Linked DNA regions of Oryctolagus cuniculus. The protein of the gene in region 1 interacts with the protein of each later gene in a pairwise test. Links are inferred from orthologs where the notes say so. Each region holds a gene or a part of one and is shown in the gene's direction. Other genes may lie near its edges. The genes, in order: PLIN1 and ABHD5.

Region 1 (3,802 bases):
TCTGTCTCTCTCTCTGTCCACTCTGCCTGTCAAAAACAAAAACAAAAACAAAAACAAAACAAAAAAAAAACAAACACAGGTTGGGACCTGGAGCTCCTTAGCGTGGAGAAGGGACCTCTTATGGGTGACACTTTTAGCTTCAACTACAGGAAGAGCCAACCATGAGGGATGAAATAGGCTTGCCCAGTGCTGCTCCAGGGGCAGAAGGTGGGCTGAGGGCTGGAGGTGGATTTCGGGCCCTCAGAGCTGGCCGACAAGGGGCGCTGGCCGACAAGGGGCGCAGGCCTCTCTCTCTGAGGACAAGTGCGCCCCTCCTCTCCAAGAGAGGGGAGCCTTCCAGGGGAGTGGGGCGGGGCTTCCTACTGCACGCCCCCTGGAGGCCCAAGATCTGAGCTTTCCCATTCTGCTCTGTGCAGCCCCGCTTGTTTAATTTGGCCCTGCTTTATTGAGCTGACATTATGGGCCAGGCCATCTGGGGGTATAGCAGCGACAGGCACTGGGAGAGAGGGCCAAGCATACACAAAATCACAGCACGGCAGGTCCAAGGATGGCCACCCAGGGGCAGCTGTGTAGGATGAGGACTGGGAGGTTCACGGGGCAGTGACGGCCAAGCTGGGTCCCGCGGGAAAGGGCACGGCTGGGCAGAGGGGGACCTGGATGGAGGGTGAGCCTCCCAGATGCCGGGGCCGGGGCACACAGGCAGGGGGCAGTGTTCCAGACAACCGGACAAGTGTTCAGGCGAGGCCACCGGTGCAAGGTGAACCAAAACGCCAGACACATATGGCAGCAACACTTGCTCTCTCCTGCCAAGTTCAGGAGGGGTGGCCAGGGAGGAGGACAGGGGCTGCCTCTGTCTCTGCAGCACTCCAAAGCCTGGCTCGTGACCTTGAGGCGCTGCAGGTGCATCTTACCTTCCCTGTGGCTCCCCGTGTCCCCGTGACTGTTGGCATCCGGAGACCTCTTTGGCCTTGGTTCCTCCCAGGTCACTTAGGCTCAGTGACTCACTATGGGCTCCCCAGCCTGGGCTCACCTTCCCAGAAGGCTGGAGAGAGAGGTGCGACAACAACGCGAATGGGTTCCTTCCCTGGCAGGAGCAAGAGAACGCGCTACAGCGGGTGCTGCAGCTGCCGGTGGTGAGCGGCACGTGCCAGTGCTTCCAGAAGACCTACGCCAGCACCAAGGAAGCCCATCCCCTGGTGGCGTCCGTGTGCAATGCCTACGAGAAGGGCGTGCAGAGCGCCAGCAGCCTGGCTGCCTGGAGTATGGAGCCAGTGGTCCGCAGGCTGTCCACCCAGTGTGAGTCCTCACTGACACTCGCGGCTGTCTGTCCCCCGTCTGGCTGTCCCATCACCTGATAACTTGTCTGTCTACCCGACCGCCTACCCAGGCCTACATCCCATTCCACGGTCTTCTCACGTAGAGACACAAAGATGTAAATATAGCTCCCTGTCCTTGTGTAGATAGATGCCCCATCATTACCCAGCTGGCTGTCACCTGGGATGACAATGACGGGGCAAAGAACTGGCAGGGGGAGGGGTGGGCGGGGCTAAGTGGCGATGGTGAGACGGGGGCCCGTGGCAGGTCAGACACCTGCTCTCACTACGAATCCAGTGGCTCCAACAGCAGGACTGGTGGGCACCAGTGCTGGGAAGGGGGGGCATTGGCTGAGCCCCACAGCTGGTGATACCAGCTCCTGGCACGTGGGGGCAGCAGAGGGCCATCAGCCAGGGACCAGGACGGGAAGACGGCTGTCCATCAAGCCCTAGCGGCCCTGTCCCTTCAAATTGCTCAGCCCAACTTGAAGTGAATTCTCCAAGCCGTGGCTCTCGATGGGGCTGAGGGAACTCCCAGCAGCGCTGAGAAGTCTGGCTCCCTCCTCGCTGCTGGCTGGAGAATGAGGGGGATCTGAGGCTCTCACCCAGCCCACAGGAGAGGAGGGCGGGTGAAGGCCCCTGGCCCTGGGCTGGCCTCCCTCCCTCCACCCTTTCCCAGTCCCGAGACAGCCCAGTCACCAGGGCTTGAGCTTTCTCTGAAGGAAGATAAGATGCCCGGAGATGGCATGTATGAAAGAGCATCTCTTGGCCGGCGCCGTGGCTCACTAGGCTAATCCTCCACCTAGCGGCACCGGCACACCGGGTTCTAGTCCCGGTCCGGGCGCCGGATTCTTTCCCGGTTGCCCCTCTTCCAGGCCAGCTCTCTGCCAGCTCTCTGCTGTAGCCTGGGAAGGCAGTGGAGGATGGCCCAGGTGCTTGGGCCCTGCACCCCATGGGAGACCAGGAGAAGCACCTGGCTCCTGCCTTCAGATCAGCGTGGTGTGCCAGCCATTGGAGGGTGAACCAACGGCAAAGGAAGACCTTTCTCTCTGTCTCACTCTCTCTCTCACCGTCCACTCTGCCTGTCAAAAAAAAAAAAAAGGCAAGGGCTGTGGAGAGCCCATGGCAGCTGTTGCTGACAGTGTCACCACTAGGATTAAGCAGCCCCAGACTGGTGCCACCAAGGCCCTGCCTCCCACCCACACCTCCGTGCTGCCTCTTCCTGCCACCCAGGCCGAGCCCCTGGGCAGCCAGGGAGGGAGGGAGCTGTGAGGAAGCCGAGGCACACACAGGCTGTGGCTCACCTGAGGCCACACACTGTGTGGAGGTGGGAGCTGAGCTTGGAGTGTGGGCCCGTCCCAGCGCAGGTCGGGGCTACTGACGGCAAAGGGCTCAGGGTCAAGGACACCTGGGAGGCAACAGGGCTGGGCCCCCAGGGCTCTGAGGAGCTGCCTCTGGCCCAGAGGCCACTGCTAGGTTCTTACAGTGGGGCCGCACCCCCACCCCACCCCCACCCCAACATGGTCCTTCCCTTCCAGTCACGGCTGCCAATGAGCTGGCCTGCCGAGGCCTGGACCACCTGGAGGAGAGGATCCCCGCCCTCCAGTACCCTCCGGAGAAGGTGAGCCCCCTGCTCGACCCCCGTGCCTGCCTCGCCCTCGGGTGCACTGGCGCTGGACTCCCTCCAGGCTGGGGGAGGCCCCTACAGCCGCACAGTGGCTGCTTTCCCTGCCCTTGGAGTCAAACGGACACAGGTTTTTCCCGGAGCAGCAGGCACAAGCCCAAAGGCAAACTCAAGCAGAAAGTCGGAGTGGGGCCCTCTGGGAGTCACATGCATCGGGAAGACAGAATGCAGTGTCTGCGAGAGCTCCCAGCCTTGACGGCCCAGAGCCCGAGCAGGTCCCTTCACAGGGAGCCATACTCACGGAGCAGCTGCCCGTGGGGGAATGAGCTTCCGTCTCTGACCTCATCCATCCACCCACCCAGGCACTGTCCGAGCCCCCAGCCCCACGGCATGAGCTCTCCCACTGACCCCCTCGCCCACTCTCTGGGGAAGGGGCCACGTCCCCAGAGTTCAGAGGCAACCACCTGCAGTGGAGCCTGGCAGGTGCACCTCTGCCTGGGACCTGTGCTCTCCACTCCCCCATCTTTCCAGGTTAAGGGCAGTATCTTTGTCACAAAGGAGCTCCCAGGTTAATGAAGAGAAAGGCAAATTATTTCAGGGTATGACTTGTGGCAGGAAGATCAACCATGGCTATCAGCCTATAGGAAGGCAGATGGGACTATGAGCGGAGAGGCCCTGTGGGCAGTAGGGCGTCAGGTGCAGCCCAGGAGGAAGACCTGGGGACTGTCCGCAAAGCCACAGCAGTGGTAGCTGTGAAGGGGCCAGAAAGTCCACGAGGCTGGCACGGCGAGGTGGGAGCCCTTTCCCTCTAGGGCCCAGCATAACGCAGGGACCCAAATATCGGTACCCAGCACCCTGGGCCGGG
Region 2 (4,293 bases), on another chromosome or scaffold:
GTAGAAGATGGCCCAAGTCCTTGGGCCCCTGCACCCGCATGGGAGACCCAGAAGAAGCTCCTGGCTCCAGATTGGCACAGCTCCAGCTATTGTGGCCAATTGGGGAGTAAACCATTGGATGGAAGACCTCTCTCTCTCTGTAACTCTGACTTTCAAATAAATAAATAAATAAATCTTAAAAAAAAAAAAAGAAAAAGAAATCTTACTATGCCCAAGAGAACATGAGTAAATCACAGAGGAGAGTATCCCTATCTTTGAGGAACTTTCAGTGTTGGCTGGAAGGAGGCTCAATAGTGTCCCTTAAAAAGCTACAGCCATTGTACAAGGCTGAGGCTCTGAGTGCGAGAGGGATGACAGAGACAGGTTTGCAGAGAGAGGCTGCCCTGAGAGAAGACGATCAGAGAAGGAGAATGCTACTCTGTTGCAGCCATGTTGGGAAGAGAGGCGTTTGGGTCACAGGGACCCCCCCCCCCCCCCCACACACACACAAAGCGTTTAATGTGGCATCTTGAGAACAGGCTCCTCATTTCGTTAGAGGGATCCCTAGGAAAGGACAAGCAGGCTCGCTTGCTCGCTTACTCTCTTGCTCTTCTGTCATGGGATGCTGGTAGATGCTGGATTTCCCAGCCCCTAAACCGTGAGGAACGAACTTCTGTTCCCTCTGTGTTACCGCGTCCTAGGCAGCACCCAACAGACGGAGACAGAGAGAGCTCTACGGCATCTAAAGGAAAAGGGGACATGTTAGCGTGGGCTCCCTACAGGCAGCAGGCCTATCTAATCGCCGCTTCCCCAGCGCCTAGAAAACAGTGGGCACGAAGTCAGGCAAACTGGAGGAGTGGATGGATGGTGGCAAGCGCTGTCATTACACAAGCAGGCTGTCTCCGATGGCTAAGAGGCTACAGATGCTGACAGTGACATCAGAGATACCCTATCAGGAACCTGACACCTCCGGACTCGGACCTCAGCTCTCCTAAGAAGGGTGTGGGGAGGTGGTTACTAATGGGGGTGTCTCCCCAGCATTACAGCAGAGAATACTGATTGGCTGGAGGCTCCTGCGAGTCGCCCTATCGCCTCGGCCACCCACCCGCGCAAAGTAGCATTTCCATTGCCCAGCGGAGAAAATCTATGTAGGTTCTCCCAGGGACTAGGTCGTTCCTTGGCTCTCAGCGTCCAGCACCTGACAGGCAAGGCCAGAGGGATGATGCATCAATACAGTCATTATACGAAGTTACCTTACTACCTAACTCGGCAGAGCCAGTATCACCAGGTCCACTAGCCTGCCTGCCTTGCCCAGCGGCCGTACAGCAGCGCTCCCGGCGCGAGGACGCATGCGCAGCTGGCGGAGCGGCCCGGCTCGCGCAAGCGCGCTGTGGCACCGCCCGCAGCTGCCGGTGGACAGCCGACGCATGCGCAGTCGGCGCAGCATTAAGGGCGGCGGCGGCGGCCCTGGGCGGCCCAGTCGGCTTGTCAGCCGGCTTGGAGACGCTGTCCGGCGCTTGCGCAGCGGCGGCCATGGCGTCGGAGGAGGAGGAGGTGGACTCGGCGGACACCGGCGAGAGGTGAATGCGGCTGGGGAACGGAGGGTGAGGAGTGTGGGGCTGCGTGGGTCCCCAGCGCGCGTCCTCCGCACGGGCAGGGGCCCGGCCCAGTGGGCAGCACCGAGAAGCGCTTGGCGACGTCTGGCCGCTGCCCGACGCGAGCCCGCGAGCCGGGAGGAGAAGCCCCGCGCGGGCACCTTCAAGCGCCGGGCTTGTCTGCGGCCGCCTGGGCCGCCCACACCGGGGGGCTGCCCTCGTGCGGTTGGGTAAAGCCGCCCCGAGGGGCTGGCGGCGAGGTGACCGCGACGTCCACACCCGCGCTGGCCCTCCGCCCCGGGGAACCCCGGGTGTGCCCCGGTGACCCCGCACCTGACTGGGTGGCCCGGAAATGGCCGAGGCGCTTGGCCCGCCTCGGAGGAGCTGGGGGCGTTAGTGGGCGCTGTCTCTGTCCAGCCTCCGAAAGTGCCCTGGGGCCGGGGTGGAGGGCTAGGGGCTCGGTGGGGAGTGGGCGCCTGGCTCGGCGTACGGGCGGCGCGGACTGATAGAAAGTTGACACTTGGGAGCGGATAACCAGCTCAGAAGGGATCATTGATCTTTCAGAAGTAGATCAGCCTCCCAGCTCCGCCTTGCCTTTTTAAAAATTTTATTTATTTAATTAATTAACTTATTTTGTGCCCCTGTTGTGGTTCTGTCTGGAGAGGACGACGGGTACGTGAAACTGTGAAAGTTGAGGGTAGGTCCTGAGTTGGGATTAACTCCAAGCACTTGTTAGCAGGAAGCGTTAGTGGAAAAGTTAAATGGCTGTGAAGGTCCTTGCCTTGTTTGCCAAGGCTGCTCGTGTATATTAGGGGAGGGGGGAAGTGTGGACCCCCCCCCCCCCGCCCCCGTGCGTGTTTCATATGTAGACAGCACTTCGGCTTCAGATGTTTGAAGAAGCAGCTTGCATAGGCAGCCTGACCTGATAGGATGTATGGTAGGAACAGCGAAGACAGGGATATTTGGAAAGACGTGGGGAGGCTTATGAATGGTCAGTCGCCAGGGTCTTCCTCTGAGTTTTGTTTTATGGTGAATGGGTCCGTTGTTTTGGTTTGTGGGTCACTGCCTTGTTCACTGCGGGTGGGATGCTGAGTGTGGCCTAGATGCGAGCAGGAGCCTTCGTGGTAACTTGTGTTCCCATCTGGTTTGTCAAAGACAGCGTTGGCTCTTTCCAGAAGAGTGCTTCGAGGGGAACTCGTTGGTCTCCATGTTGTTGTGAGTGTTGGGCGTCCAGGATATCACCGGGAACGGGGTTTATGGCTTTGGGTGACGGTTGCAGGTCACTGGAGGCAGATTGTGCAAAATCATTAGCATGTAACCAGCTGTCCCTAGACAGAGGTGGGCCTCCCCGGTGGTGGTGGCTGTGCACTTGAGCAGGGTCCGGTGTCCATGCTGGTTATGGCCTCCTGAACTGTCCCACAGGCAGACAGGGAAGACTAAGCTCTAGCCCCTGCTGGATGCTGCCCAGACATTTCCATGTTGAACCTAAGGGGCAGCTTGTGCCCCGGATACTCTGTTCCCATTTTGCAGTTGGAACTGCTTCCCAAGTCGTGGCGCTGGCTGGATTGGAGTCCTTTGGCTGTCTGAATTCAGGCCGAGGCATTTCCCCCATATTTCTGCAGCCTCTCATTTGGATTAGAACACAGATGTTCGGCTCTTGTTTTGAATCAAGTTCCCCGTCCTTAAGACATTTTGGGTTTAGATGGGGATGTGATGTTAGCAAAGGGAACAACTGTAAAACAGTTATTTGCAGCATATAATTCTTGTGTATTCCCTTGTGGCTCCTAGTGAAGATGGGCATTCCAGGGAGCGTTTGACTTTCAACATCCAAGTTCCTAGAGTTGCTAAATGTAACCAGAATAGTTTAGACTTCTGTGAATTGTTGTAAGCTTATCCTAGAAAATGGTGAAGACATTTTTGTCATCCAGAGTCACAACTGTGCTGTCACCTTTTCACAACCCTCACAATTTTATTGCCCAGAATACCAGATGTGTTACTAAGTTCAGCAGACTCTAAGCTGAGAACTCCTTTCCAGTTGAGTTTAAAGGGAAATTGTCACAGAATTGCTCATTTGCAGGGTAGACAAAAGAAGAGGTCGTGAGCTGGAGTTGATTTGTACCAGAAAGCCATTGCTAAAATTTTCAGTAATTTTTTTCAACCTTTGGCAGCTTGAAATTGGCCATGGTATTTATACCAAAGAAATCATCAGGTGCTACAAATAAGGTATAAAGGATTCTCTCTCTCTCTCTCTTTTTTTTTTTTTAAATCAAGATCTTTATCTTCCTTCCTCCTCCCCTTCTGAAACCCTTGCCTTCTTAAAACCTGACTTGTTAAACAAAATTTTTACAAAATTTCAGTGCTGTACCCCACTGGCCTTTTGTTTTTCTCAGTACTTAACTTTCCTGGGTCCTGTTCAGTGTTAGATACTGTAATGATAGCGGCTTCCTTTTTGAAACTTTTATTGGACATTCCAGCCCTTCAGTTTTCCTTCTTACCTTAGACAAAGAGTCACTTTTATTAGATTCTCTTCTTTTCCTGTTTCTGAGTATAGCACTTCGTCCTTGGTTTTGTTGTGTTGTTATTCACACTCCTTGAACTGCTTGTCTGTGAACGGGACTGAGATCTCGTTTGCTTTCCGAATCTCTTCTGTACACGGTGATGCTTCTGTTTGTCAGGTGTGTTTGCACCTGATTCCTCAAACTTCACGCCGTCTAGCAGC

Evidence for each region.
Region 2: the proteins of PLIN1 (region 1) and ABHD5 interact in a protein complementation assay, tested with the Homo sapiens proteins (3 studies listed by BioGRID, with this or other methods). The link is inferred for Oryctolagus cuniculus from reciprocal best matches to the Homo sapiens genes PLIN1 and ABHD5.

The regions. Positions count from the first base shown.
Region 1 is NC_091443.1:99,744,026-99,747,827, reverse strand, and holds part of PLIN1 (perilipin-1), read left to right. Parts: intron 1-1,091; coding exon 1,092-1,296; intron 1,297-2,851; coding exon 2,852-2,934; intron 2,935-3,802. UniProt on the Homo sapiens protein: Modulator of adipocyte lipid metabolism. Coats lipid storage droplets to protect them from breakdown by hormone-sensitive lipase (HSL). Its absence may result in leanness. Plays a role in unilocular lipid droplet formation by activating CIDEC.
Region 2 is NC_091441.1:104,510,520-104,514,812, reverse strand, and holds the start of ABHD5 (1-acylglycerol-3-phosphate O-acyltransferase ABHD5), read left to right. Parts: upstream 1-1,425; 5' UTR 1,426-1,512; coding exon 1,513-1,559; intron 1,560-2,734; exon of another isoform or gene 2,735-2,781; coding exon of another isoform or gene 2,782-2,789; intron 2,790-4,293. UniProt on the Homo sapiens protein: Coenzyme A-dependent lysophosphatidic acid acyltransferase that catalyzes the transfer of an acyl group on a lysophosphatidic acid.